Rattus norvegicus: one gene and its partners. The protein of the gene in region 2 interacts with the protein of the main gene of each other region in a pairwise test. Links are inferred from orthologs where the notes say so. Each region holds a gene or a part of one and is shown on either strand. Other genes may lie near its edges. The genes, in order: Emd, Meox2, Syt17, Cntnap2, Naa10, Fuca2 and Cib3.

Evidence for each region.
Region 1: the proteins of Meox2 (region 2) and Emd interact in binary tests that used the Homo sapiens proteins (3 or more experiments, as listed by UniProt). The two-hybrid records come from large-scale screens. The link is inferred for Rattus norvegicus from reciprocal best matches to the Homo sapiens genes MEOX2 and EMD.
Region 3: the proteins of Meox2 (region 2) and Syt17 interact in binary tests that used the Homo sapiens proteins (3 or more experiments, as listed by UniProt). The two-hybrid records come from large-scale screens. The link is inferred for Rattus norvegicus from reciprocal best matches to the Homo sapiens genes MEOX2 and SYT17.
Region 4: the proteins of Meox2 (region 2) and Cntnap2 interact in binary tests that used the Homo sapiens proteins (3 or more experiments, as listed by UniProt). The link is inferred for Rattus norvegicus from reciprocal best matches to the Homo sapiens genes MEOX2 and CNTNAP2.
Region 5: the proteins of Meox2 (region 2) and Naa10 interact in binary tests that used the Homo sapiens proteins (3 or more experiments, as listed by UniProt). The two-hybrid records come from large-scale screens. The link is inferred for Rattus norvegicus from reciprocal best matches to the Homo sapiens genes MEOX2 and NAA10.
Region 6: the proteins of Meox2 (region 2) and Fuca2 interact in binary tests that used the Homo sapiens proteins (3 or more experiments, as listed by UniProt). The two-hybrid records come from large-scale screens. The link is inferred for Rattus norvegicus from reciprocal best matches to the Homo sapiens genes MEOX2 and FUCA2.
Region 7: the proteins of Meox2 (region 2) and Cib3 interact in binary tests that used the Homo sapiens proteins (3 or more experiments, as listed by UniProt). The two-hybrid records come from large-scale screens. The link is inferred for Rattus norvegicus from reciprocal best matches to the Homo sapiens genes MEOX2 and CIB3.

What each region holds. Positions count from the first base shown.
Region 1 is NC_086039.1:157,189,051-157,193,596, reverse strand, and holds Emd (emerin), read right to left. Parts: upstream 3,160-4,546; 5' UTR 3,053-3,159; coding exon 2,971-3,052; intron 2,879-2,970; exon of another isoform or gene 2,799-2,878; coding exon 2,691-2,798; intron 2,555-2,690; coding exon 2,477-2,554; intron 2,257-2,476; coding exon 2,120-2,256; intron 988-2,119; coding exon 941-987; intron 859-940; coding exon 528-858; 3' UTR 148-527; downstream 1-147. UniProt on the Homo sapiens protein: Stabilizes and promotes the formation of a nuclear actin cortical network. Stimulates actin polymerization in vitro by binding and stabilizing the pointed end of growing filaments. Inhibits beta-catenin activity by preventing its accumulation in the nucleus.
Region 2 is NC_086024.1:59,582,680-59,587,013, forward strand, and holds the start of Meox2 (homeobox protein MOX-2), read left to right. Parts: upstream 1-1,345; 5' UTR 1,346-1,537; coding exon 1,538-2,051; intron 2,052-4,334. UniProt on the Homo sapiens protein: Mesodermal transcription factor that plays a key role in somitogenesis and somitogenesis and limb muscle differentiation. Required during limb development for normal appendicular muscle formation and for the normal regulation of myogenic genes.
Region 3 is NC_086019.1:182,189,060-182,192,936, reverse strand, and holds part of Syt17 (synaptotagmin-17), read left to right. Parts: intron 1-1,017; exon of another isoform or gene 1,018-1,306; coding exon of another isoform or gene 1,307-1,309; intron 1,310-1,531; exon of another isoform or gene 1,532-1,536; coding exon 1,537-1,554; intron 1,555-2,143; coding exon 2,144-2,292; intron 2,293-3,877. UniProt on the Homo sapiens protein: Plays a role in dendrite formation by melanocytes.
Region 4 is NC_086022.1:75,107,822-75,112,187, forward strand, and holds the start of Cntnap2 (contactin associated protein 2 precursor), read left to right. Parts: upstream 1-1,536; 5' UTR 1,537-2,235; coding exon 2,236-2,332; intron 2,333-4,366. UniProt on the Homo sapiens protein: Required for gap junction formation. Required, with CNTNAP1, for radial and longitudinal organization of myelinated axons.
Region 5 is NC_086039.1:156,806,552-156,809,625, forward strand, and holds the end of Naa10 (N-alpha-acetyltransferase 10), read right to left. Parts: intron 2,017-3,074; coding exon of another isoform or gene 1,998-2,016; exon of another isoform or gene 1,983-1,997; intron 1,955-1,982; coding exon of another isoform or gene 1,942-1,954; exon of another isoform or gene 1,930-1,941; coding exon 1,845-1,929; intron 1,242-1,844; coding exon of another isoform or gene 1,151-1,241; coding exon 914-1,150; 3' UTR 827-913; downstream 1-826. UniProt on the Homo sapiens protein: Catalytic subunit of N-terminal acetyltransferase complexes which display alpha (N-terminal) acetyltransferase activity. Acetylates amino termini that are devoid of initiator methionine.
Region 6 is NC_086019.1:9,718,751-9,721,772, reverse strand, and holds the end of Fuca2 (plasma alpha-L-fucosidase precursor), read right to left. Parts: intron 2,518-3,022; coding exon 2,409-2,517; intron 1,137-2,408; coding exon 996-1,136; 3' UTR 863-995; downstream 1-862. UniProt on the Homo sapiens protein: Alpha-L-fucosidase is responsible for hydrolyzing the alpha-1,6-linked fucose joined to the reducing-end N-acetylglucosamine of the carbohydrate moieties of glycoproteins.
Region 7 is NC_086034.1:17,654,926-17,659,557, reverse strand, and holds the start of Cib3 (calcium and integrin-binding family member 3), read right to left. Parts: upstream 3,106-4,632; 5' UTR 3,036-3,105; coding exon 2,985-3,035; exon of another isoform or gene 2,855-2,984; coding exon of another isoform or gene 2,801-2,854; coding exon 2,766-2,800; intron 271-2,765; coding exon 159-270; intron 1-158. UniProt on the Homo sapiens protein: Acts a an auxiliary subunit of the sensory mechanoelectrical transduction (MET) channel in hair cells. Plays a role in regulating hair cell MET channel localization and function.

The DNA of each region.
Region 1 (4,546 bases), on a different chromosome or scaffold from region 2:
TTCCCCAAGACCAAGCACAACCAAAGGGAAAAGCCACACTGATTATTGAGACCTAAAACCAAGCACCTGTGTGCCATGGCAGCCCAGCTCCCATCCCAGTAGGAAGAAACAACAAGGTAAAAATAAACATGTTTATTATTGTGTCCACGAAAGCAAAGCCAGGATGGCCTTGTTAATACCCCCTGAAAAGGTGACAACAAACAGGCATGCATGACAACTACCACTGCCACCACCAAGTTTTCCTCTAATGAAGTGAGGTCCTCCCCACCAGATCCCCATACCCTAAGAGTCAGAGGCAATAAGGCTAGGAGGCTCCAGAGGAAGGTACATACGGGCCTACTGGGCTGTGGAAAGCCAGCATTTGCTGCTTCCTTGGCAAGATGAGGTGGAGACAAGCACTGCCGTAGGCTAGGCCCTGTACCCTCTAACTAGAATACACAAAAAAGCCCCTACCCCCCACCCCCAGCAAACACTGCTAAGGCAGTCAGCCAAAACTCCTGTTAAGAGCTGCTCTGAAACCAATACCCTTAGGGATCCATCCAGAAGGGGTTGCCTTCTTCAGCTTGTATGGAATAGTAAACAAAGAGCAGAAAGGCAGCAAAGGCCAGGAAGAGTAACAGCTGGCCCCAGAGTGGGACCTGTCGATCCTGGCCCAGAGCAGCAGTAGGGGCCTGCTTTTCTGGTCGAATGGCACGTCGGGTAAGCCATGAAGAGGGAGAAGATGAAGAGGAGGACACAGAAGAGGTGGAGGATGTAGGATAATATGATAAGCCCAGGGAGCTCCTGGAGACATTGGAAATGGGGCGGTAGTGTGCGATGCTCTGGTAGGCACTGTCTCGGCCATAGATGGGGCGTTCCCTGTAGCAAAAGAAGGGGACAGGTAGGCAGGAGAGTCTGAGTGTCAAACTTGTCCCTGTCCCTACATGTGTTCACTACTCACCTATCCTTGCCTTCCTCTTCTGAAGAAGAGAAAATGTCATCACGCACCTGCCGGATAATTAGGATTAGAAATGGGAAAGAATGGTTTCCCCAAATGTCTCTGGCTAGCCTACTCTAGTCACATTGTAGGGGGCAGAAAATTGCCCCCCCATCATTCTGGGTCCATGCCCTCTTTAACTGTGGGGCCTTGCCACCCAGTTACAAACCTTGTCAACTTTGTCCCACCATCCTTTTATTCCCCAGGATTCTCAGGAGGCTTAAACCTACATCCTAGAGTACAGGTGCTGTTATATATGCTCAGATCATAAAAGTTTGTGGGCTGCAGAGATGCCTCAGTGGTTAAAAGCACCTATTGTTCTTCCTAGGTACCTAAGGTCATTTTCCAGCACTCACATCAGGCAGTTTACAACTACTTGCCATTCTAGCTCTAAGGGGAATCTAAGGGGAAATCTGACAATTCTGGCATCTGTAGGCACCAGCACTCATGCATACTACCCACAGACACATACATGTAGTGAGAATTCTTGAAATTTGGCTTAAGAAACACAGAAATATTATAAGAATGTTTTTATTTTAACCCTAGATGTGGGATATGGGGCTGTTTTACAGCAGCTATGATTTGCTTCATGCTTTTGAGTTGCAGATAGTTTCTGCAATTTTGTGGTATTTGGAATTCTGGGAATTTTTCAGAGGGTATGTAAATACTAGAGCCCCAATAGGTGAGGTTGGTTACAGTTTGCTAGTAGCTGGGGTCAAAGAAGACACAAGGAAGAAAGAAATTAGATTCAGGGATCTTTAGCTCTCTTTCTCTATCTAATGATTGGGGGTGAAAGGGTGAGGGGAACCCACAAACTAACAAAAAATTGGCTACACATAGGTATAATTAAAGTAATTAAATTTTTAAAAATGCCAAAACCCCAAAAACATTTGTGTGTGCTGCTGGATGCTGGAGATGAAACCATAGGTAAATGCTCTTCTACTGAGCTATATATGCTCATCCCCAAATCTAATAGTTTTGGAGGTTCCAACGTAGAACTTTTGAGCCAACAACTGTATGCTGATCCTAACCATACTTGAAGGCCTAAGATCCACTCTCTGCACCTAGTATCTCCTTGAACTATCCAAACCTAGAATTCCCTAAGGCTACATACACCCCAGGTATGCCTACCAGACAACTCACCTGGTGATGGAAGGTATCATCAGCATCTACAAGTGAGGTCCCTGGCCGGCGGAAGCTCTTGGACATGCCCACAGACTCGGGCTCCCCGTATGTCCTGGTAGTCAAATAGCTCTCCTCATAGTAGTCATCATTATAGTCTTGAGGAAGAAAACAGTGGTAGAGGAAAAAGTGGTGCCCCTTACCTGGCCTCTTGCCACCTTCCGCCCCCCCCCCCCAGTCTGTGTGTGTGCTGTGCCAGTTTCTTCTCTCTGAAGCCACTGAGAACTGGTACAAGGGGGTGAGGTCTGGAGTTTCACTGTGCCCAAATCCCTGAAGCATGGGATAAAGACATCAGTGCCCATCCCACACCTGCCTTACCCTTGCTCTGGTAAAGTAAGGCGTCCTCCTTTTTGGGCAGATCATACATGTCTGAGTCCACGGAGGCTGAATCCAAGTCTGCATGTGGAGGAGAAGGTACAGGACCTTCAATCTCCAGACTTCCCCCTACTCCCTCAGTAGCTTCAGCCACACCCTCCCTCCCTGCGCCTTGTGCCCCAAGCTGCTCTTTGGGGCTGTGCAGTTGGAGCCTCACCTGAGAACCGATAGGAGAATGAAGACGATGACGAGCTGGGGGGCGAAAGCCTCCTTCTCTGGGTCTCGTACTCGAAGATTTTCTTTTCGTAGAGCTTGCGAGTGGAGCCTGCCCAGACACAGGGTGCGAAGCGGTCAGCGGGTGCGAGCCGAGCACCCCAAGAGCACAAGGGAACACGGGGAGGGGACCTGAGGGAAGGAGGAGGTAGGAAGAACGCTCAGGGAGGAGCGCGGGAAAGCGGGGGACCGAGAGGTTCTGAGCGCCACCGGCTGCAGCATACCCACAATAGGCCCATGCGGGATGTTGTACTGGCGTAGCACTGCGGCCAGCTCAGTATCGGACAAAACCGCATAGTCGTCCATGGCAGACACGGCCGGCACCTGGAAGCGGTGTTGAACGCCAGGGGCGGCCGGCACCTATACACAGGGCCCAAGAAACAGACAGCTCGGAGCCTAGCAGAGGAAGCGCCAGCGCCTCAAGAGCGGCTGTGGGCGCGTCAAGCCGCCGTCACGTTTGCGTCACAGCCGCTGCTACGCAGGTTGCGCGCTCTCCTCAGGGCAGGCCCAAATCCGCCGGAGCGGCCAGTACAGACCAGTCTAGCAGGCTGGACTGGCAAATACAAACGTCACACTTGTGTGAGATTGACTCGAACAGGAAGAGGGAGGGGCTTGCGGGAGAGATTTTGGGGCAGCGGAGACTTCCTTTGAGAGCTAGGCAGCTGAGGGGCGGGGCTAGCTAGGCTATCTGAGGGTGCTAAAGCTCAACGTACTAGAGGGGCGACAAGTGTTCTCAGCGGACCAAAACTGGCTTGTGATTTCCCAAGCTGTGAAATCTTACACACCTTTGTGGCTTCATCCTGATTTCCAGTGCCTAGGATTCTCAGCCACAGTCTGGTCCACAGCAATGTGAAGAGTCCAATCCTGAGAGCAAACCTTTCCACAGCGCCTGACGCTGTTGCGAGCTCTTTGTGTGCACAAGTGCTGTCATACAGGACTCTCATCACCTACATAACCACCCACAGACCCCTGGCACTCGCTACCCATCTCCGCTGGTCTTCACAGGCTCCATGGCCCTGGCCTGCACACCTGTACAGGCCCATTCCCACCGTCCTCTCTGCCGCCTAGTTCCATCCGGGAGGAAATGGGGCTAGCACTGGGACAAGAGGCCGCCAACACTGTAGGACCAAGCAGCTTTCCAAAGGTCCAGGGCATGCCAATGGGCACAATCAGAAGGTGCCTGCTATGTGATGCATGTAGATGGGTACACCTTGTACCTGCCTAACTCACTGTTCCATCCACCTTGGGCCCTGAGGAGTTTTGAGGGGAGAAGTCTTCTTTGGCAGAGTCTCTAAGCTTGGTGTGACCTTAGAGGCCTAGACAGTGTGCAAAGCCTAGAGCAGTATCTCTCAACCTTCTTAATGCTGCCGACCCTTTAATACAGTTCCTCATATTGTGATGACCCCACCACCACCATAAAATTATTGTGTTGTACTTCATAAGTGTAATTTTGCTATTATAAATTATAAATATCTAATATGAAGGATATCTAATATGTGAGACCCAAAGGAATAGTATCCCAGAGGTTCCAAACTGCTGGCCTAAAGGTAAACCATGGGAATTGACGGAGGCTCACTAAGGATCTGGATCAGAGAAAGGTTGCCTTGAAGAGTGAGCATGACCATTATATTCTACGAAAAGTCATGTGGCTCTAGGTGTAAGCTGCCCTTTACTGGAGACATCTAGAAGAGGGGGTACATGCAGAAAAGGTGTGTGGGATGCCTGATCTCTTAAATCAGTGATTCTCAACCTTCCTAATGCTGTGACCCTTGTTGTGACCACAACGGTTACTCATGTTGT
Region 2 (4,334 bases):
ACCCACTTTCCTGCAGCTCATTCTCCAAAGCTTGTTGTGGGTTAAAGAGAGGACCTCTAGTAGACTCTGTGGCAGGTCAAGCAAGCTAAAGGCTGTGTCAACCGCAACCCGGCTCTCACAAATTCACCAGTGGGCAAGTTTCGTAGTTCACTTCCAGGAGCCCAGGCTGTAAACCTGGGGGAAATGAACCATCATAGCAGGGTCGACTCTGAGGAAATGTTGAGTTTGCTATCTGCTTAAAACAGAGAGGTGGCAAGGAACGAACGGAATGTATGCAAAGAGGAGCACTGTAAGCTAAAAAAAGAAATTTCATTTCTCAACGGATGGGGGACGGGGTGGTGTGTGTGTGAATTGGCTCCTGTAGGGTTAGACTAGAAAGGGTGAAGCTGGGAGCAACTTATACTTGCTCAATTGATGTTTCTTAGGGTTGTTCCTGACCCAGAAAACTTTCCCAGTGAGCGAGTGTTGAGGAAATTGAACAAACTGGGTTGTTAAAGAGACATAGGGCTGGGAGGACACGGTCAGAAACAGAAGAAAGGGGGACACCACTTGGAGTGGCACATAAATATGTGCCACCAAGGCACCAGAACTTGCATCCATCTCTGCTTAAGGCACACCCCACTGGCTACCTCTCCATTCCGCACTCAGAGTAGCTCTGTGCTATCCTTGGTGCTCAGCCCTACAACCTCCTCTCTGGTGCGGGTTTTCTAACAATCTATCCTAAAACACCTAAAAGGGAAAAATATAATGTGCCCCTGAATGCGGGAAGTGCGAGTGGTCTTGGAGTTTGAAAAGCTAGACTGCTTCGCTCTTTTCCTTCTCTTGAACTCTAATAAGTTCTCTGTGATCTGAAAAGTCAGAGAGCGCCTGTAGGTGACTGCAACCCCCACCAAGGCTGGGAAATCTAGGTTCCAAGAACAGTGAGCGAGCACAGACACGGGGTGCTGGCTTAGCATAGTCGAGTGCTTCTGTGTCTGGCCACGGGAATCTATGGGATAGATCGCGGTGGTGTCCCTGAGCTACTGAGGCTCTGGGCGCTCCACTAACTGTTGTGGAAGCTCCCAGGACCCGACGGGCGTGGGGCAGCCGCTCCTGTCCTGCCAGCAATTGGGAACTGGAAATGAGAGAGTACGGTGGCGCTGACTGAGCGGGAGTTTTGGAGGGAGTTTGCATGTGGTCAGCGCTGGGCTCCTAAGCCAGCCCCCAGCTCACATTACACTCTATTTATAACCTCTCAGAGCCATTTCCCCCCCTGAAAGCAGTTCTCTGGGACCACCTTCTTTTGGCTTCCACCTCTCCCACACTTGACATCTGAGCAGCTGCAAGGGAAGCTCCTCCAGGTCCTAGTGTTTATACGTGCAGGAGACTGGCCGCTCGGCTCAGGACTGGGATTAGCGGGCTCTGCTCAAACCCGCGCGGCTTTTACATTAGGAGTGAGTGGGGGAGAGTCCTAGGATTTCTAGTGAAAAGTGACAGCGCTTGGTGGACTTTGGGACCTTCGTGAAGTCTTCTGCTTGGAAGCTGAGACTTGCATGCCATGGAACACCCCCTCTTTGGCTGCCTGCGCAGCCCCCACGCCACAGCGCAAGGCTTGCACCCCTTCTCGCAGTCTTCTCTGGCCCTCCATGGAAGATCTGACCACATGTCCTACCCCGAACTCTCCACATCTTCCTCGTCTTGCATAATCGCGGGATACCCCAATGAGGAGGGCATGTTTGCCAGCCAGCATCACAGGGGGCACCACCACCACCACCACCACCACCATCACCACCACCAGCAGCAGCAGCACCAGGCTCTGCAAAGCAACTGGCACCTCCCGCAGATGTCCTCCCCGCCAAGCGCGGCCCGGCACAGCCTTTGCCTGCAGCCTGATTCCGGAGGGCCCCCGGAGCTGGGGAGCAGCCCTCCGGTCCTGTGCTCCAACTCTTCTAGCCTGGGCTCCAGCACCCCGACCGGAGCCGCGTGCGCACCAGGGGATTATGGCCGTCAAGCGCTGTCACCCGCAGAAGTGGAGAAGAGAAGTGGCAGCAAAAGAAAAAGCGACAGTTCAGGTGAGTGTCGGCAAAACAATCCTGGGGAGAGTGCGCTCTGGGCTAGGAAGATGCAGGGGAGGTAGGGATGGTTCTTGTAGAAAGACAAACTAAGAAGCAGCTAGCGTTTCCTCTCTCTGGTGGCCGAATTCATCTATGCAGGGTCGGCCCTGTAATTCAGGAGCACGTGTTTCACTGAAGTTAATATATCTACATCCAGCCGTTCAAAGCCCCCCAAGATCGCAAATCAGTTTTCCAGAAGCGTTGAAGAAAGAGCAAGTGACACTATGCGAAATCGGTTAAGGAGCGTGGCGGTCCATCCACTGGTTGGGCGGGGTGTGCTCTTTGGGATGCTGCATCCTCTGGGCGTGCGTGCATGTCTCTGTGTGTGCGTGCATGCGGTTCTCTTTGACTTTTTCTTTCCAATTCCCAACTCTGAACAGCTAGACTTTTCCTATCATTAGCTTGGTTTCCACATTATTGCACAATATCTTGAACTTTAACTGGATTTGACAAAATACGCAAAAATAGAAAAGAAAAAAGAAAAAAAAAGAAAGAAAAAGAAACCCAAAACTTTTTATTTACATTTTATTTTCAGAGTTCCTTAAATAGCATTTACTTAAAATGATATTTAAAAAGCATTCTATTCATTTGGCGAAAAAGACATTATCCAGTAATCTAGAAGTGTTTAAGGAATACATCTGAAAATTGCGAATAAATAGATAAGGGCTTGACGAAAGGGTATTCTTATAGTGATTACACTCATGTGGTGCTAACATAGGATAAAACAAAACAAGCAAAAAAAAATCAATCAGCCAACTAAAGGAAACAAAACTTTTGAATTTCAAGAGTGGAAAATAAAAGCCTTCACCAATTGAGTACTGCTTGGAGGTGCAGCGAAGAGAGCTGACAGACAACAGCTCTGACAGCGCTGGAAGAAGATACAGAGAAAGTGTGGGTAACCTGAGCAGCCCAACAAAAGGGGAGCCTCCCAGAAGAATTCAGGGGCCTGAAAGTTCAATAGCCAGTACATCCCGGCAGCCCAGTAAAACTGAAAATTTCCAGGAAGCACAACAAAGCCCTTAACTATATTCCTCATTGTAAAGATGTTTACTTTCTTCCTTTCTTCTTTCCTTCCTACCTATCTTTCCTCTTTCCGTTTTCCCTTCTTTCTTTCTGTTCTTTCTTTCTTCCATTGAATCTTCCCTGTAGTTACAAGGCAACCTGGATACAGATTTTGGAAGACATCACTTAACTAGCACAGTGTTTGCATTTATTTAATTTTCTGTGTTAGCGACTTGAAAGTTAGAACATACAATTTGAGGCATTAGTTTGAAGAATTGAAAAAAAATCGCATTTGCAGTGTAGGACAGTAAGGGCTGTGTATTTTGTAAGGGGTTGAAAGATGATAGAAACTTTTCTTGACCCCAGTGTGGGCTGACTGCTTCCTTCCCAGCCGCGTTGAACCTGCGATTTTCTAGGTCCAGGGTGAACTTTTAATGCTCCATCATGATTAGTTATGTCTAAGAATGTTACCACACTGTCATTTTGTTTAGCGGTTATTGCTGAATGTGCGTGAAATCCTAAGACACTGAGAAGGTTCCTAAGAAGGCATTAGAATCCGCTGGGTTTCCTCAGATTGGGCTTCATGAGCACAAATGCTCCATTTGCTTCTGCAGGTTGGTAGTTACCTCAGGAAGGACCAGAAGCCCCATTCCCTGTTTTCTTTCTGCAAGGGGGAAACTGACCTACTTCTGAGCTGAACCAATGCCCTAAAGATTATTTGCGCACACGAAGGAATTTTTGTTCAGGCACAAGTTATTTTTGGGTGGGGAAACAGGGAAAGTGAGATGCCAAGCTCTTCCCAATTTGTTTTACTATTTAATATAACGGTCTTAATTCAACGTTATTTAATATAATGGTCTTAATACTGACTAGCAGTGGTTTTCATCACCTTTACCAGGGGCAAGTAAGCACACAGCAACGCCAAGCTTGTTTTAGCATGGTGAAACTCGTTTAAACACCAAAACAAGTAAAGAGAATAAACATTTGTGCCAACCACCCAGTGTATTAATACGTTACAAAGATGGGAAATATAATCAATAGGAAGGATAATGTCACTGGGGTTGACTGAGAATGAATGTTCCCATTGATAGACTACCGAAGTCAAGCATCAATTTTCTTGGTACACTATTGAAGATCAAATCTATGTCCTCAGACTCTGAGTTAAAATCAATTAGATCACAGGTATGCTTAACTCCAAGCCATTCTTGGTCCTATTCCAATTTATACAGCAAACATTCA
Region 3 (3,877 bases), on a different chromosome or scaffold from region 2:
TAGAATTGAACTCTTTTGGCTTGAGTTCAGGTCCGCAGCACCCATGTAAAAGCTGAGTTTGGTGGTGTGTTACCCTTTGCTGGGAGGCAGAGACAGGAGGATTCCTGTGCCTCACTGGCCAACCAACCTTGAGTTGATGAGCTCCAGATTCCATCCCAGAAAGAGCAACTGAGGAAGACGCCTGACATTGACCACTGTCCTCCACAGACACATGTGCACAATTACTTACAGGGAACCAGGCAAAGGGAGCCAGGATCACATGATGGTGGTAGAAGGCGGCCGGAAAAAAATAACACAAGGGGAATGCTACAGAATTAAATCCGGGCTGGATTTAAAGATGGGCTATCTCCAGCTTTAGAGGGCCCACCTTGCTTTGTTTACAGGGAAGGATAGGAGTGAGCAAGAGTCAAGTAGCTGAACAAACCCAGACTGTCTCCCTCTGCACCCCAAAGCCCTAGCTTGCATTGCACCTCCCTTCCTGTCTAGGATCTGTCCTAAGCTGGTCATCAGGATTTGACCTCTGCCTAATGGGTTAATACCACCACATTTCCTGAAATCATGAAACCCTGGGCCTGTAAAGATGACTTAGCTGGCAAAAGCGCTTGCCACAAAGTCTGATGAACTGAGTTTGATCCTTGGAGCCAGGTGGAGGAGGTAGAGACTGGTCTCCCGAGAGTCATCCTCTGACCTCCACATGGTGCTGTGGATGTGTGTGATCACAGAGAGAGAGAGAGACATGCACATGCCCACGTGTGCATGTACACACACACACACACACACACACACACACACACACACGAAATGTTACAATTTTTTTCAAAGAAAATAAATCCTGGGTCCGTAGAGGAGCCCTTCTTGGAAGAAGAGGAGGGAGTTTAGAGCTTGGGGACCTATGAGAAGAAGATGGGGTATGGGGTGGAACCAGAGAGGAAGGACCAGCTCCTGGCTTCCTTCCAGCCCCTCCCCCATTTGTGGGTGGTCGAAGGATGCTCTCTACCAGCAGGATTGGAGCAGGATTGGAAGGTAGGACCCTGGCAGGGGCGGGGGAATCAGCCTGTCAGATTAGCTAATCAGGCCCTCTTGGGCTGGCTTCTGGCTATTTCAGTCTGGGAAGGTTTGCGAGTCCCCTGAAGTGTGGCTGTGTGCTGAGTAGCATGACAATCTATCTGCCCGCTCTGATTCATAACAGCACATCAAATGGAAAAGCTCACATTTCCCGTTTATTCGCTGTTAGTTAACCAAGAGGCTCCCAGCAGCCCTGCAAACATAGCCATACCTTGGTAGTAAAGTCAGCTCCCTCCCCAGAATGGTGAGTGCAAAGAAGGTGTGGGGTGCTGCTTTCTGTTGTTTTTGTCTTGCTTGTTTTGAGTTGCTGGAATATTGCTAAACTGGTTCTCTCTCTCTCTCTCTCTCTCTCTCTCTCTCTCTCTCTCTCTCTCTCTCCTTCCCTCCCTCCCTCCCCTCTCCCTTCTCTCCTCTCCTCTCTCCCCTCTCTGCCCCTCACCCTGGCTTCACCGTGGCTCTCTAAAAGGGCAGTTGGAACCACTGAACGAGGTGGGTTAATTCAATCATCTGTTTGGACTGGATTCTAATCAAATGCTTGCTTTTCCGTTTGGAGTCTGGTGTGGGGCTGGGGCATGATTGAGTCCTGAATCACAGGATATTAACAAGGGTACAGTTTCTCTTCCCTTCTCCCAAAAGGGAGACCCTGGCAAAAGGGACATGGCTGGACAGACAGCATGTGTGTCCTGACTCAACCGGACTCCCCCAGTTTAGTTGCATGTCCCTGGGGCTATTTTTTTCTGAATTATCTTTTTTCCCTTTTGCCAGAAGAGAACCCTATGCATTGTGTGTTTGAGAACATATTGTCTGGCCCTCTCCATGTTGTAATAACCGCCCACCTGTCAAGAAAGGCACACACATAAACTACAAAGGCAAACACCTGCAAGTGTTTTGCTGCTCCGAATGGCTGCAGCACTTCTGTTTGCCTTCCTGTATGCCACAGCGCATAAATAAGAAAATTTCCCCCTACTTGCAATTCTGCTCTGGGGTGCCTATTTATCATGGGTGGGTCAATCCCAGATGGGCTTCTTATAACTCGGGGTGTTATCTCTCTTCTCTCTTCCTCTCCCAATGGCCCCAGGGCTTTCTTTCCAGAATCTCTGATGTGCTGCTGTGTGGATGGACTTGTCAACACTGCTGTCAGAGGTGCTATGAGTCCAGCTGCTGCCAGTCTAGTGAAGATGAAGTGGAGATCTTGGGACCTTTCCCTGCCCAGACTCCTCCATGGCTGTGAGTACCCTGCTTGGAAATTTACCTCCCAGCAGCCTCTCCACTGGAGGGAGGGCAGGATGGGGGATAGAGTTTCCATGGACATAGCTGAGAAGGGCCTCTTTGTGCCCCCTCATTTGTGGGCCAGCTGGTAGCACCAGCTGGTGGTGAGGCTCCTGCTCACACCAAGCTTCTGAGATGCTAGCCGGGCTATGCTAATCTTGGGGACACTTTAAGTAGTCTAAGTATCCAAGCAGAAAAGGACCTGTGTTCTTTTCTAAGGAACTTTGTGAAGGTAACAGTGTCTGAGTGCCTCCTTCCCAGGCAGCATGGCAGACTGACATTATGCCCAGCCCCAAGCCTGCACCAAGTAAATGCTCAGTGAATCTGAGATGCCAGCACCTTTCCGATGCTGCTTTTAGCTGGCCTGAACGAGGCCTTATAACCCGGATCCCCAGGGAGGGATGTTCCAATGCTGGTCGTGCTCACCCTAGCTTCTTCCGTTTTATTTCTAATCCACTCCCCTCCTGCACCCGAATACGACATCTCCATCTGCCAGTCGCTCAGATATTTTGGGAATGCAGTTTTGAAGCTCAGCCACATGTCTGATCCACCTCTCTGTGGCAGGGAGAAGGATGTGGTCAGAGTCTGGGGAGGAGCCAGGAGACCAGGGTTGGGAAAGACCTAGTAATAATTAACAACAGATGCTGCTGGGAACTCTGGGAGGGAGGCCCAGAGAGGAGATGGTGCTGGGTGCAAACGGAATCCAGGGGTAGCACTCGAAACTGATTCATCTAAGTCTTGGGCTGAAATTCCGGAAGTCCCTGGAGCCCCATTTTTCCTCTGGGTTGGAGGTCATGCCGTGTGTGCTCTTTCTAGAAGCAAGTTTCAGATGTTTCCAGGACACACTGGCTTCATGTCAGCATGTGTGAGTTCAGTCAAGTTCAGTTTCTTTTTTTTTTTTTAAAGATTTATTCATTTATTATATATAAGTACACTGTAGCTGTCTTCAGACACACCAGAAGAGGGCATCGGATCTCTTTACAGATGGTTGTGAGCCACCATGTGGTTGCTGGGAATTGAACTCAGGACCTCTGGAAGAGCAGTCGGGTGCTCTTAACCTCTGAGCCATCTCTCCAGCCCCAAGTTCAGTTTCTATGACAGCTTTCTAGCTCTGAGAAAGTTACTTGACTTTTCTGAGCCCTGGTTTCCCATCTGTAAAATGGGACGATACAAAAAAGTTAGTATTTACCACACAGGTTTGATGCATTTGTGTTTAGAAAAGACTTAAGAGTGCTTCAGACTTTGTTGATGATCAAAATCTACATCATTTGTTTGTTGGCTTGTTTATTATTGAGACAGGGTCTTACTATGTAGCCTTGACTTGTCTGGAACTGTCTTTATAGACCAAGCAAACCTCGAACTCACAAAGATCTGCCTGCCTCCGTCTCCTGGGAACTGGGATTAAAGGCATGGTGGCCTTTCTTATTTTTGTTTTTTTTAAGACAGAGTCTCAGGTAGCCCAGGCTGGCCCCTTGAATTTGCTACGTAGCCAGAGATGACCTTGAACTTCTGATCTTCCTGCACCTTCCTCCTAAGTGCTGGA
Region 4 (4,366 bases), on a different chromosome or scaffold from region 2:
CTCTTGTAAAAAATTGTGCTCTTTGACAATGTATTTCTAATGTTCTGTCCCTTTAAACTCTTGGAATTGGTTGATGAGAGTTGTATATAGAATTCTGGAATGTGTTCACTGACATATCGGAGTTGAGGAATTCAAATAGAAAAAAGACATTTTCTAATTTGCACAAATCCCTATTTTATGATGAGAAGAGTGACTTAAAATGTGTGGCATAACATTGTTCTACTCCATCATTGGTCAACTATGTTTTTTTATTTTTACAGACTTTACTCAATCTGTAGTTCTTACTAGAACTTAAAATCAAATAAGGGGTGGGGGGAGAGATAAATTAATGCTGACTCAGGCCCTTTAACACCATACTGATTATGTAGTGAACACATAGCTCTGTTTACAGTAGACTTCTCTAAGATATAAGCATAACATTAAAATTCACATTCTATTCACAGAGTGGGGAAATCATCACAAAAATTTATTTATCACAAAAGGCAAATGTATGTTTATTGCATAACTCTGAAAGACAGCGTTACTCCTCCTCAAACCTCCCTAAACATCATTAGGTATTTAGAGATCTATAATTCTTAATTGTGTCAGTAAAGGCTGTGAAAGGATTGATTCTTTGGGGAGGAAATAATACAAGTACTTTCTTGGACTGGATGCTAGGAAAACAAATCAGTGCAGAATGTGGCTAGATAGGAGCTGAGGGGTAAGGTTGAGAATTATTAGTAAAATCATCTAAATGATTAGAGAAAGCAGCATTTCTATAGACCTTCTTAGTTATTAATACTTTCAACACTTAAGCACACCGAAGTAATTATCATTTGACAACATATTTACTCTACCTTTCCTTTTAGGGTTGTTTGTGTTTGTGGTGTGTGGTTTTCTCAGCATCATGTGTTTGGTGAATGTGTATATATGTATGTCTGCATCCATATATATATATATATATATATATATATATATATGGAAATGTGAATTAATTACATTTAAAACACCTGAATTAGGTACCTCTGAACAATCCTATCTTTCTCTGCTACAGCCAGCCAGGATGTTTAGACCTGTCATTTGGTGTTAGGATCACTCGGAAGACCTGCCTTTCGGACTCCTGATTGTGGTTCTTGGGAGTTCTAAGCTCCGGGAGCCTGTACCATCTCTATCTGAAGGGGAGGAAAGAAGCCAAAGAGAAAGCATCCCAGCAAGAGGTTTTTCCCTCCTACTGCTGGGTCAGGGACTAGCCAGGTCTGGAGCAGGGTTCTTAGATTACACAGCAAATCAACTTCAGCACCGCGGACAGCAGCGCCTCCCGCTTAGACTGAGGTGCATCTCTTCAGCCTTGGCCCCGACTCCAGTTAATGGACCTGAGCCACTAGCTTCCTTCTCTCCTTTGCTTCCAAAGCAAACGAAGGCAGGGCAGAAAGGTTGTTACAGCAAGAGGAGTGCAGTAGGAAAAGAAAAGGAGGAGGAGGAGGAGGAGGAGGAGGAGGAGGAGGAGGAGGAGGAGGAGGAGGAGGAGGAGGGGCCGGGGAGGGGAGGGGAGGGGAACAAGAAGGGAAGAAGCGGGGAAGCTTCCCTTCGCCAGGCTCGCCCGGGTCTGCAGGCGCTGCTGGAGGCAGCAGTCTCCAGCTCCCGGCTGCGGTGGTAGCTGCTGAGCTCTCTCTCCAGCGATGCTTCTTAGTGCCGCGCCACGCTGAGGCCGAACGTGTACGGGGGCTTGCCTCAGCTCCATACATCCTTGATCTCAGCCTGGGAGCTAACAGCCTACTGGAAAACCCTCTGAGTCGCGCTGCCCAGTGGCCACCCAAGCGCTCGCCCGCAGTGGCAACCGCAGCATCACCGGACCCATCGCTCTCGGTTCTTTCCTACGGTCTGAGTTCTCTCCAGATTTCCCCCACGCGTCCTTTGATTTTTTTTTCCAGAAGAGAGGGCGGGGTAGGTGTCAGTCCCCTCCTCTCTCTCACCCCTCCTATTCCTTCTCGGTTTGAATTTCTTCCCCTGGCATTTCACTGGCTCTCAGAGCAAGAGACCAGACCCACAGAGAGGGGAAAGCCAGGCTGCGCCTCCCTTGCTGCTGCCAGCCCAGAACTGGAACCTAGAGAGGGTGAGGGGAGAGGAAGCAAAGCAGGAGGAGCTTGGCTTCCTCTCGCATCTGAGGACAGACCGGTTCACTTCAAGAACCTCACAGAGAGGCAGACTGCATCTCTGCAGCGAGCTTTTGGAGTACCACTGGCCCGGAGGCTAAGGATGGTGATTTCTCTGAGAGCAGGCTGCAGGGCAGCGCTCTCGCTCTGGATTCTCAGCAGCTTCATCTGCAGAGCCTGGACAGCTCCCTCCTCCTTCCGTAAGTAGCTCTCTGCTTTCCTGGCTCCTTACTGGAGTCACTTCAGTGCCGCATTGATGTAAGGGCGCCCGGGTATCAACTCTGAGGTGCATTCTCAATTCTTGTCCCTCATGTGTGTGTGTGTGTGTGTGTGTGTGTGTGTGTGTGTGTGTGTGTGTGTAGGATACTTCCTGTTTGTAGCCACTGCCGCAGAGAAACTCCAAACCGAGGAAGCTCCTTGTTCAGTGGAGATTTTCATAGTGCTGGATGCTTCTGGAAAGTTGTTTCTAGTCTTGAAGATTGCTCCGCAAGTGCTTGGTTAGAGTGATGAGAGTAGCCGTTTCTTGATACTTATCAGTGCAGTATGGAGATGATTACATATTACTTAGGACAGAAAACTAGCATAAGTTTTTGATTTTTATTGATGGCTTTTACTTGTGTTGGTCTGAGGAAGAAAGAGGAACATATTTCAAGCAGTTTGGGCACCTATGCGTTTACTAATCTCTTTGGCCCTCCTAAAAAGTTAATGCTCATTTAACCCTTCCTTAATTGTATGTATTTTTAAAGTGAGGCTAATATCGAGACTGACACTGCACTAATTCCTTTGTGGTTTGGAGTAATGAGCATGACTCATGCAGGCTAGGACTTGGGACAGCCAGTGCAATGGCATAAGAGATGGTCTGAAAGTTTTTAAGAAAATGATGTAACTGCTCAAAAATTTGTGCTTTTAAGGAGGGGGGTGGAAGAAATGGAAGATCTGGCCAATTTTATGCATTGCTTTAGAAATTTATACTGTGTATGAAGAGGGGAAAGGTATAGTTGGCTTTGTCTGAGAAAGAGTTAAACGCTGGACTGATTCTGTAACACTTTGCACAGTTTTCCTAAGCATAGCCTTGTTTGTGAGATTGGGTGAGTCCATTGTTGAAGGAGAATGGAGTTCAAGGGGAAATATTCTCCACTTAGGATACATAAGTTCAGAAGTTTCTAGATGCTTCACACATGATTTGCACCCCATACCTCTTTATAGATTCTGTGGCTGCATTAATGTTCACCTTTGTCTGTATTTCCATATTAATATAATTATTACACCGTATAAAATATTCAGAGCAGCCATGAAATAGTTTTCTTTTATGTTTTGATTGACAATCATCACCAGTGCTATGATTAGTAGTATTTGGACATATTCCCAAGTATACGTCATGAGATTCTTCTGCGTTGTTTAAAGAAAGAGGTGGCAAAAAAGAACATAACTAAGTTTTTGTGAACTTGAAACTTTTATTTATCTCAAAATATACACAAATCTAAAAATATGTGCTATTTTATCTGTGTTGATTTTATAGACTTAAATGGAAATTGTAAAGCTACCTTTAGTAAGTTATGTTGGTGGAATTTTAATTTTCACTTTAAAATATGCTTGTACAGTGGAATGGAATTGGCTTCCACGTTTTGTACAGACTTACTAAAAGTTAAAATACGTTGTACTTTCCTGTTAGAGTCCTTATTTCCCAGTAGCTTCCAGAATTCTGTATCTCATCTTTCTGTGTGTCTGAGTAGAAACGGGTCGATCTGAATCATTCACTATGCATCCAGAATTTTATATTTGCCCTTATTGCATTGGTATAGTTCAAAGATTCAAAAGTTATTTCAGAAATATGAGCTTAGCTTTTGCTGCTTAGAATTCAGTGAAGAACAACACCAAAGTCAATATGTTTAAAATTCTCGTGTTTGAGCTTTAGGGTTCATTTAATTGTTATTTCAAAACCTAAATAATTAAAATATATTAGGTTAAGATAAGGTTTTATTATATATGAATACGAACTCTGAAACACAAACAAAAGTTGCCTAAAACATCAGAGTGAGGATGGTAATGAGTGATACCTAAATTTACCGATGATATGGAATTCTCAAATTTATTTTTGCACATAATGAAAAATATGCATTTTGTGTTGTATTTTGAAACACTGCATGATACTTATGTTTTTAATACGTAGAAATGCTTAAAGCAGAAAAATTGTAACTCCATGAATCTAAGTTAATGAACATCTCAACCAGGAG
Region 5 (3,074 bases), on a different chromosome or scaffold from region 2:
GTAGTCAAGAACTAGATAAAGCATAGAACTGTCTTGTCTTGTTTTTCTGCATAGCCTTGTCCTGAACTCATTTTGTAGACCAGGCTAGTTTGGAGCTTAAAAGACAGATCCACCTGCCTCTGCCTCCCAAGTGCTGGGATTAAAGGAGTGTGCCACCACTGCCTCACAGCAAATATAAAATATTAATGGAGGAGTGGTTCACGCCTGTAATCCCAGCACGTTAGAGTCTGAGGCAGGATTGGCATAGGTTTGAGGCCAGCCTGGGCTACATAATGAGTTCCAGGCCAGCTTGGGCTAAGTAAGAGATCCTGTTTCACAAAAAAATTTTTTAAAAGGCTACAGATAGGAAAAGCCTGAGCAACTGGGTAACTGAATAGGCCAGGATCCAGCTAGGATCTCTCCAGATAAGTGCAAAGAGGAGTTGGACTTAAGCACTTGGGGTCCAGGAGGTATAAACTGGAGCTCCTACTGATGAGAGAGCAAGTATGACTAGGAGTAAAGGGCTGAGAGGGTAAAGCAATGCAGCAAAGAACATCAAGGTAGGGGAGCTGCCTCTGAAATGTGAGGCTGAATAGAAAACCCAAGAAATCATTTTGTTCAGCCCTAGAAAATTACTAAAGATGTTACAGAGATCTGTAGAAGGCCAGGAAAGTGACATGAGAATATGGCACCCAAGACAGTTTATCTGCCAACTCCAACTCAGTTGTTGAAGGAAGCCAGATTGGGGTCCCATCCTCAAACATTTGACTTGTGAGCTCAGTACGCTCTGGGCTGTGAAGATAGTATCCCTGCCATATAGGAGCTGGAAAAAAAGCATACCCCACTATGCACATTCACAAATTTCCCAAGGCCACTGGGTGACATTTATTGTAAAAAGCACATGGGGTGAGGTTGGGACCAGGTAGGGCAGGTTCTAGGAGGCAGAATCAGAGGCCTCTGAGCTGTCTTTGACATCTGTGCTTTCTGTGGTCTCACTGACCTCACTGAGGTCCTTGCTGTCCCCACCACTATCCTCAGCAGTCAGGCCCTTCTCCTCACGACAGGCCTCTCCTGAGCTCAGAAGCACGTTGCCTTTGTTCTCCGCCTTGTTCTCCATGGCCGACAGCACCATGTGCCTGCCCTTTTCCTTCAGCTCCAGGTGCCGCCTCAGCTGCCGCCGGGAGCCCAGAGGGAAGCGGGTGGAAAGAGACAGGGCCTAAGTCTCCAGACAGGAGACAAGAGGAGCCAGGCCCTGGGGCTGGCTGGGGGAAGGGACACAGTGAGAAGTGGTAGGGCCAAGGCAGGAAATAGGACTGGGTAGAAATGTAGTTCAATCCTACCTCTGTCCTAAGCCTGCTTCATCTGTAAAATGACATGAGTTCTATTGCCCTCAAATACGCTGCTGGGAAGCCCCCAAGACAGAGCAGTGCCTTTCCAGGAGGCTTGGTCAGAGAGACCCTTTCTCCCTAGCCCAGTTTAATCCTAGATCTGAGCAGGCTGCCCCCAACCATAGTAGTCCCAATTCCTCTGTTAAAAAAAAAATCTTCCTACTGTCTCTCCTATTCCACCCATCTCCAGACTTCTTCCCCAGAAAGCATCCCATGGCCTCCTTTACAGTCAATGAAGGCCATGCCCTGACTTGACAGCTTAGGGAGTAAGGGAAAGAGGGGCTCTGATTCCTAGCTTTACAACCACAAAAGCTGACACTCAGTCTCGGTCTTGCCTCTAGTCGCCACTGCCTCACTCTGTCTCACAGCTCTTTGACATCTGTACTTTCTGTGGTCTCACTGAAAATAGACACCTTTCCCAATTACAGAATCTCCTCTACTGCTGGAATTGCTGCCCTGGCCTGGCTGAACTCTTACCTCATCAGCCATCTGCGTGAGGTCCCGCTTCATTGCATATGCATCTTCCCCATCTGCATAGTATTTGGGCTCCACTTCGCTGATCCTGGGGGTAGGATCAAGACACATGCCTAGGGGCAAATTCTCCAGGTTCTTAGGCTACTGGGGTAAATGTCATCTCCCCCTGTAGGACCTTTGTAGAGGCAAAAAGCCAGTGTAAATGGGTTTCTCCTTTTTGTTTTTCATTTGACTGGATTCTTGTTCAACAGCTATGATAGTTTTCTCTGCTCTTCAAGTAAAGCCAAATAGCATGTAGCATCCAGGGCACTTCTGATTCCTAGACTTGCTACCACTTTGTCCCTAGCCCAACCATCAAGGACTTGTGTATTGAGTTGAAGTCCTTAATTCTGCCTTCCTCTCCCTGACCTGCTCCCTGTTATTTACTGAACACATAGTTCCTCTGCTAGGAAAGAGGGACACTGTACCTGCATGTAGATGGTCATCATAGACAACCTGGTTACTCACCAGATGGATGAGGGGAGGGAGGTGTGTGTGCACAATTAAGTATCCCTGACACTGGAAGAGAAACCCGTTGATGACCTAGGAAGGTTCCTTGCCAGTCTTTAGGGATACATGCTGGGTAACTTCCTCAGTTGCTTTCCATCTTATTTTTTTCAAAATAGGGTCTCTTACTGAATCTGGAACTTGTCCATTCAACTAGGCTTGTTGATTAGTGAACCCTAGGGATTCTCTTGTCTTAACCTCTTCAGCACTAGGATAATAGGTACAGGGCACTGTATGTGGCTTTTATACATGAGTGCCAGGCATCAAACACAAGTCCTCACAATTAAGCTATCTCCTCAGCACCCATCTTTTGAGACAGGGTCTTGCTATGTGGTTGAGACTAACCTGGAACTCCCTATGCTGGGACTGCAACCCACAGTCCTCCACTTTGAGTGCAGAGATTAAGAGACATGTACTACCATACCCAGCTGGGAACTGCTGACTTAGCAGGTAAAGCAGTTCCTGCCACAGAGGCATCTTAACTAGGTCAAAAGTCCCTCCATGAATATGGATGTTGAACCCAGAAAAGCTGAAGACCACCATCCTGTTCCAATGGTGTCATCTTCACTGGACCCCCTCAAAGTCTAGTGTGGCTCAGTGGTTCCTCAAGTTAGTCTATTCGAGCCTCACTTTCAAGTGGCACTAGGTACTACTAAGTCCTCTCTTCATAGAGATGGTCATGTCCAG
Region 6 (3,022 bases), on a different chromosome or scaffold from region 2:
GTTGGCCATTGGGTTTCATGACAGGAACCGAAAAGAAGCTAATAACACCTTCCCAATTTTCAACTAGGTTTGCAACTTGAGTTTTAGCCCTTATTAAAAAATAACCCTGCCCTTCCAACCTCACACCGTGTCCCGTACCCGAATTGGAAGAATATATACTAAAATATTATAAAAGACCTAGGAGGTAACTTGTGTTTCAAAATGTCTCCAGCCAATAGGAGCTTTATAAACAAGAGGGGAGCCTTTACAATGAAAAGGGTAACTATGGACTTCCCTGGATGCCTACCTCAAATCTAATCTATTACATACTGCCTGCATTATATACAAGGATTCAATGACAGGGTGATGGGGGATATGGGAGAGACCAAACATCCTGGATGGCTTCTACAACAGGGAGTTATGCTTCCTTTCAGTCCTGGAGGGCAGAAATCCAAGATGAGGGTGTTTGAGAGACTCGGTTTCTTCTGCACTCCTCCCCCTGGCTTGTGGATGAATGTCTCCTAACGTGGCTTTCCTCTGTGCTCTTGTATCTCTACTGTCTCCTTCCCTCATAGGACAGCAGATTCTCTGGTATTAGGGATAACCCTATGACAGCCTGATCTTACCCGTCTCTCCAAGGTCTCTGTTTCTAAAAACAGCCGTGTGGGGTGTTAGGGCTTCAATATAAGACGAGGAGTTGGGAGGAAATTCAGTCCATAGCATCGCCAGTTCCTAGCTTCCCTGGAAAAAGATTTCCACCTGCCGTGAGTGACATGTGACATGGACTCAGTAGGAAGAGACTTTGGAGGAAAGCATGGTCAGACGGTGACACGAGCAATGTAGGGAAGAATTTAGGAAGAAAGAGAGGGGAAGCTGCATCGCGTAATGGCTTCAGTTTTTATATCATTTTTATATCATTTAGTCTCTTTAGTGTAACAACAACAACAACAAAAAAAGGAAACCCTGACGTTTCCTGTGGTTAGAGGCTCCTGTAGAACGCATCTGTCTGCTGCAGGTTAAGTGACATTGGTTAGTGCCAGAGTCCATCCCCATTTACAGGGCATCTGATGAACGCTTAGCCGGGGCAACTCCACCACAATGCCGCTTGGCTTTGAAGATGTCCAAGTCAGTGGCCGTCCGTGGCCCAGTAGTTCTACCTGCAATCGGAAACAGGGACAATGCGTAAATGTTCCCAAATACATCCCGGTGATGTCCACTGGCTAAGGAATTAGAGTTTCTTAAAAAGTGCTAGACAGGGCTCCACTTCTACCTTTGGCACTCGCACGCTCTCTTACACTCATTCCTGTTGTCCCTGTTACCCCTGAGACACGAACAAACGTGTGCACAGGTTGGGAAGGATGCTTGAAGACAACGCGGGAAGTAACGGGGAGCACTCTGCCCAGTTCTTACACCCAGAATAACGACTTCCTTCTGGGTAGTCACTACTGTCAAGTTTTCCAGTGATGTTTTACCCTTCAATAGTGTATGGATTTAACCAGTGGTATCGACGGCTGTTTCGCAGTCTTGGTCTTGCTCATTCTAAGAGAAGTCAAGTAAGTAGTTCTGAACATACTCTAGGGTTACTTGAACCATAACGCTTCATCACATGGAAAAAACGCAAAACAAAGCCCTGAATTTTAATCATACTAGTTAATGCCAAGCAAGACATAGATTTAAAGAAAGCAAAACAAAACAACGAAACACTGCCGCGTCCAGGTTTGGAGACTGCTTTAACACTAGATTTGAAACCCAGTTTTCTACCTGGTCAACCTCCATTGTTAGAACTAAAATGTGAAGGGGAGTCACAAGAGAGTCACAGGATATTTCATTCCAAACACATCAACTTCTAGAAAAGGGCCCAAGATACATTGCAGGGCACTCCACTGGGTCTGATGACAGCCTTTAATAATCACAAAAGAATGACAACATCTTTCTTTGATTTGACATGTTCTTGGTGTGATGTTGGAGAAGTGCGATGGTTTGAATATGCTTGACCCAGAGATGGCAATATTAGAGGTGTGGCCTTGTTGGAGTAGGTGTGTCACTGTGGGTGTGGGCTTTAAGACCCTCATCCTAGCTGCCTAGAAGTCAGTCTTCTCCTGGCAGCCTTCAGATGAAGATGTAGAACTCTCAGCTCCTCCTGCACGATGCCCGCCTGGACATTGCCAGGCTCCTGCCTTGATGATAATGGACTGAACCTCTGAACCTGTAAGCCAGCCCCAATTAAATGTTGTCCTTATAAGGGTTGCCTTGGTCATGGTGTCTGTTCACAGCAGGAAAACTCTAACTAAGACAGGGAGGCCATTAAGGTTCCTTTCACATGAGGTTCACGTGAAAGTTTCCCCTAGAAGCTAAAGCAAGCTATGTTCTCCCCAACGTGGTTTACCCTCACCAACTAAAGGAAGAGTCATGATAAAATTCATTCTTACCTCTGTTTCCCCCAGACTACCTATGGGTTGTCCAAGAAACAGCTTTCCAGAGATGGGCCATTTCAGAAAAATAGCATAGACTAATTTCTTCTCAGGTTTAGATGTGTACCTGGTTAGAAAAAACAGACAAAAAGACCCTGCCATTGTATCAAGTTACATCCCATGTCTGTCCGTATTTCTGGTTCATGTCTGCAATTGTTTGACAGATACTTGACAATGTCACCACTAGTAAAAAAAATAAATAAAAGGCCCACTTTCCTCCCATATGGTATGAAAAGTCCCTCCCTTTTCCAAACCTCCAATATTAAAAGCAGGTTGGTTTTTGCTCTGTCTTGTGTCAGTCTTAATCTGTAGCTGGGACAAGCCTTGAACTCAAGACAGTCCTGGTGCCTTAGTTCCCTCAATGCTGGCATCACAGGAGTGTTGCCATACCTGCTTGAGAGGAAGTTTGGCGGGTGAGAGGATCGGTGAGCTAATGTCTCTCTTCGAACTGCTCATGTGGAGCTGAGAACAGAGCGTAGAAATAAGCTAACGGGAGCTAGCTAGGCTTCCACCTGCGGATATAGTGTTCTCACTATTAGAGATGCAGCAGAAAGCCAAACACGGTGCTTGGT
Region 7 (4,632 bases), on a different chromosome or scaffold from region 2:
AGTCCAACCAGGCCCCAGCCCATGACTTCCCTTTAACCTTGTCCTTCCTGTGTGTGTCTCTCAGAGCTCCAGTTTTCTTTTCTGTAAAATGGGGATATAGGAATGCAATGGAGACATCTTCAGTCTGTCTTCACTCTTTCCCCACAGCCCGGGATTACCTTTAGCTCCGGCATACTCCCGATCAGCTCGTAGGGCACCTTCACCTCGGGGCTGGTGGTATAGTCAAGAGGCACCAACTGAGGGGCCAAGTCCTGGTACCGATAGAACAGCCTGGTGTGGGAAGAGAGAAACCAGGAAAGGCTGGGACCCAAGAGGCAGAAGGGATTTGACCCTCTTCTTGAACACTGACTGGACTCACTCCACAAAGACGGATGCTGGGTCCCCAGAAGCCTCAGGCATGAATCTGAATCTTGAGTGCACAGAGCCCTGTCACCCTCCCCATAGACAAGGCCAAGGTAGAGCGAGGAAGGAGAAACAAGGTAAAAAGAAAGAACTTCCGGGAGGAAGGAGCATTGTTGTTGGGTTTAGAAGTAGGAGTAGGAGTTCACCAGGAAAATGGAGCTAGAAGAAGGAGGTGCCAATGGCTGATTATTCCACAGTCAGCGTTTGAGGGATCTAGGGTATAACCTATATACTCCACCATCACCTCGCAGGATCCTGCTTCTACTGCTCCTCCACCCCAGCCACCGCTTCCTTTGCTGTCTACGCTAGGCAGGCTTCCTCCGATGAAGCAGGGCACAGACAAGCAACTAATGTTCACACTCCTGATGCTTCTGCTCCCCGAGTGTGGAAGTGACGGGCTCGTGCTGCTTCTGGATTTTTTTTTAAAAAGGGAACATAGGAAACACTGACCACCACACATATAACCTTTCCGTACACATTCTTCACCTGCCTCAAAGAGACCACCTTTGATACCTCTGATGTCCAAAAGCTGCTAGGAACTATCTCAGAGGAGCAAGGATATCCATGGGTTTTCTCATGACTACATACTTGAGAATGGCTGGTAAGGCTCAGTCCTAAATCCCCGGGGTCCTGTGGGAGAATGTCGTGTTTACCTTTTCTTTAAAAGTATTTTTACAGTTACGTATTTATTTGTGTGTATGCTTCAGCTCAGGTGTTGAGGTCAGAGGACAACTTGTGGAAGTGGATTCTCTTCTACTATATGGGTCCTGGGGTTTGAACCCTGATCCTCAGGCTTGGCAGCAAGCACTTTTGTTTGCTGAGCCATATTGTGGACCCATAGAGTTGGTGTCTTTTTGTGGCATCCAGTGAGCTCCTCTCTCCTCCCAGCCTTGGTCATTCTGTTTAACAATCTGGAAGCCTGGGCAGTCAGAACACCACTTATCAGGACTCTGTCCATCTGCCCTGGGAACCGATGTCTTCCTTGCCCAAGCCTCAGTTTCCCCACCAGTAATCTGATCATGACGGCCAAAGTGACCTGCCAGCTGTCCTCACAGACAATAGGCTGATGGGTTAGAGGTGTACCCATCAATAATGGATGCCCTGTACCCACACAAGAGGGGCTCGGCCTGTTGCCCCACAGCTGAACCGCAGCCGGCTTAGGTTTCACGGATAATGGATCAACAAACAGAAGGATGACATGGGAGGTTCATCAGTGTCCATCCTGCTGGGCTCAAGCCAAGAACCTGCAGTCAGTCGCCCAGGAGCTGCCACCACCCAGCACAATCTCCTTTGTGCCCCTCACAGCTCAGAGCTGGATCTCAGCTCTGCCCTGCACTCCCAACCTCAAAGCGCCAATGCGCCTCTCCAAGGCACCTTCCATGGCTCCCTGACACCCTTGGGTAAAGGACAAGCTCCTCGATACAAAAACTCAGCCGGTGCGTGGCTCAGGCAGGGTGTGACTTCTTAGCCAGGCGTTTCTGCCTCAGTCCATGGACCTCCAGGCAACATCGTCATCGAAGCTTTAAACTCGATGGTGCTACATCTCAGCTCTCTTCATATTGCAAAGACGCTGAGCATGGTGCTACAGGCTTGCGATCCCAGCACTTGGGAGGCAGAGGCAGGTGGATCTGTGAGTTTGAAGACAGCCTGGTTTACAGAGGGAGTTCCAGGACAGCCAGGGCTACACAGAGGAAACCCTATCTCTCAGGGAAAGGAAGGAAGGAAGGAAGGAAAGAAGGAAGGAAGGAAGGAAGGAAGGAAAGAAGGAAGGAAGGAAGGACGAACGAGAAAAGGGAAATCAAGAGGATCCAAGACGGCAAATGACTCAAACGCCTAATCTGGTAAAGACACACCGCCTTGCCTGATGACCTGGGTTTGACCCCTCAGACCCACGTGGTAGAAAGAGACTGAAAGCTGAGTTCAGTCCCAGAACCCACTTAAAGGGGGCAGAAAAAAAAAATCAACTCTACAAATTCTCTTCTGACTGCTCCAAGTGTACCAGGGCACATTTGCACACTCACAAATCATGGCCCCCACAATCATATTTCTTTTTTTTTTTTTTTTTTGGTTCTTTTTTTCGGAGCTGGGGACCGAACTCAGGGCCTTGCGCTTCCTAGGCAAGTACTCTACCACTGAGCTAAATCCCCAACCCCTCACAATCATATTTCTTAATTGCAGCCAGCTACAGTGACACACACCTGTGATCGATCCCAGCACCCAAGAGGCAGAGGTAATTTTGAGGCTAGCCTAGGCCTTTCTCAAACAAACAAGACAGAAAGAACAATAACCAGAAGATTGCACAAAGGCCCAGCACTGACTAGAAAGTTGTTTTGGGGTATCATTTCCCTTCATCCCCCACTCACCTCATGATCTCCTTCCTCGTGAAGAAAGTACAGTCCTGTGGGGAGAGAAACCGGCTTGACCCAGATCTGCCTCCGGGTCGTCTCCCCATGTACCCCTCTAGGCAGTCCAAACCCACACAGATAGCCTGATGTCACAAATAGGGCTCTGAGGAGACTCTGAGCTGCCCGTATCCCAGGCCAAGCTGTGCCCGCCTGGCAGGATCCACCACACATGCCCACCTGGTATTCCTCCAGCTGCTCGTGACTAAACACAGTCTGCTTGTTACCCATGCTGCACACCGCAGCCTTGAATCCACCGGAACTGAAATTACAGGTGGCTCCTCAGGGGCATTTGTGCACACAGTGTCTGCGCAATGACCCCTGGCTGTCACCCGCCCACCCATCCAGTCAGTTGCCCCAAGCTTAGTGAAGCTCAAGTTACAGCCTGGCTCTCTGGGCAACCTTTTGACTGTGTCCACAGGTGTGGAAGAGGGCTGTGAGAGGTCACAGAGAAGCCATTCTGTCTGGGACGCCTTCAAGAGAAGGCCATGCCCACACCCAAGCTCAAACCCTAGCTTTCCCCCTGGCTAGCTGTGTAGCCTTGGGTAATTGTCCGACCTCTATGAACCTCGCAGAAAGAATGGAAATTACATTGAAAGACCCCCCTCCCAGAAAGGGAATTGTACAAGCCCAAGGCCCTCAACTATAGAAGTAAAAAGTAAGTTTTTAGATATGTGGGACAAGCTGACCCATCATTTAGACGAAACAGACCAGAAAAGAAAACAAAATGCAGAAACCAGACTAAATTATGGGCACTACTCCATGGGCCACCTGACAGGAAAAAGAAAAAGTCCCTGACCCCCTGGAAGCCCTGACCACCATGTACTTTTTGCTAACTCATTGTTATGATTATAGCCAAAATAAGTAACATACACGTATGCCTCATTTACTCCACCAATCACATCCCTGTAACCATGCATCTGCTTCTGTAAGCCTGCTTCTGCTCCCCAAAATACTATAAAAAGCCCACCCTGGCTCTGCTAGGCGCGCCAGTCTTCCGAATTGACTGGGACGCCCACAGATACCTGTGTATCCTGATCAATAAAAATCCTCTTGCTGATTGCAGCCTGTGGACTCGGACTGGTCATTGGGCTTGAGGATCTCCCTCCTGAGGGAAGATTCTCTCTGAGAGTCTTACATATGGGGGCTCGTCCGGGATCGGAGATCCTCTGTCTAGAGACCACCGACCACCCACCGGGAGGTAAGCTGGCCAGTGTTTGTCTTGTCCTGTCTTGTCTTGCTTTGTGACTTGTTCTGTAAATGCTTAGTTACTTGGCTTGGGTCTATACCGTTTGTATTTGGGCGGGCCAGAGAAGGAGCTGACGAGCTCGAACTTCTCCCCCGCAGCCCTGGAAGACGTTCCAAGGGTGTTTAGAGCCCGGTTTTTCGGGGCTCAGCCTGTATCGGAAGGATACGTGGTTTTGGGTTGGAGGAGAGAGGAGAGAGCCGGATCCACTGAAGGATCCGGACCCTTGTCGCCTCTGTCTGAATTTTTGGTTTCAGTTTGACACCGAAGCCGCGCGGTGCGTCTGTCTGTCTGACTGTTGGAATTGTTTGTCTTCTTTGTGTCCTAATTTTCTTTGAACATCTGTGGAAATTGGTTATAGGATGCTTTGTCTTGGTCTTGTTTGTCTGGGTTGTTTTCTGTGGTATTGTCGAGTGTCTTTTTGACTTTTGTTTCGTTTTTGAACTTTGGATAGACGACTGTGTTTAAAATCTTGGACTGACGACTGTGTTTAAAATCATGAAACTATTTGCTTTGTTTGTCAAGGAGTTTTACTTGATCCTCTTGGTGCTTAACTTGGAAATAATTTGCTTGAGAAAAATT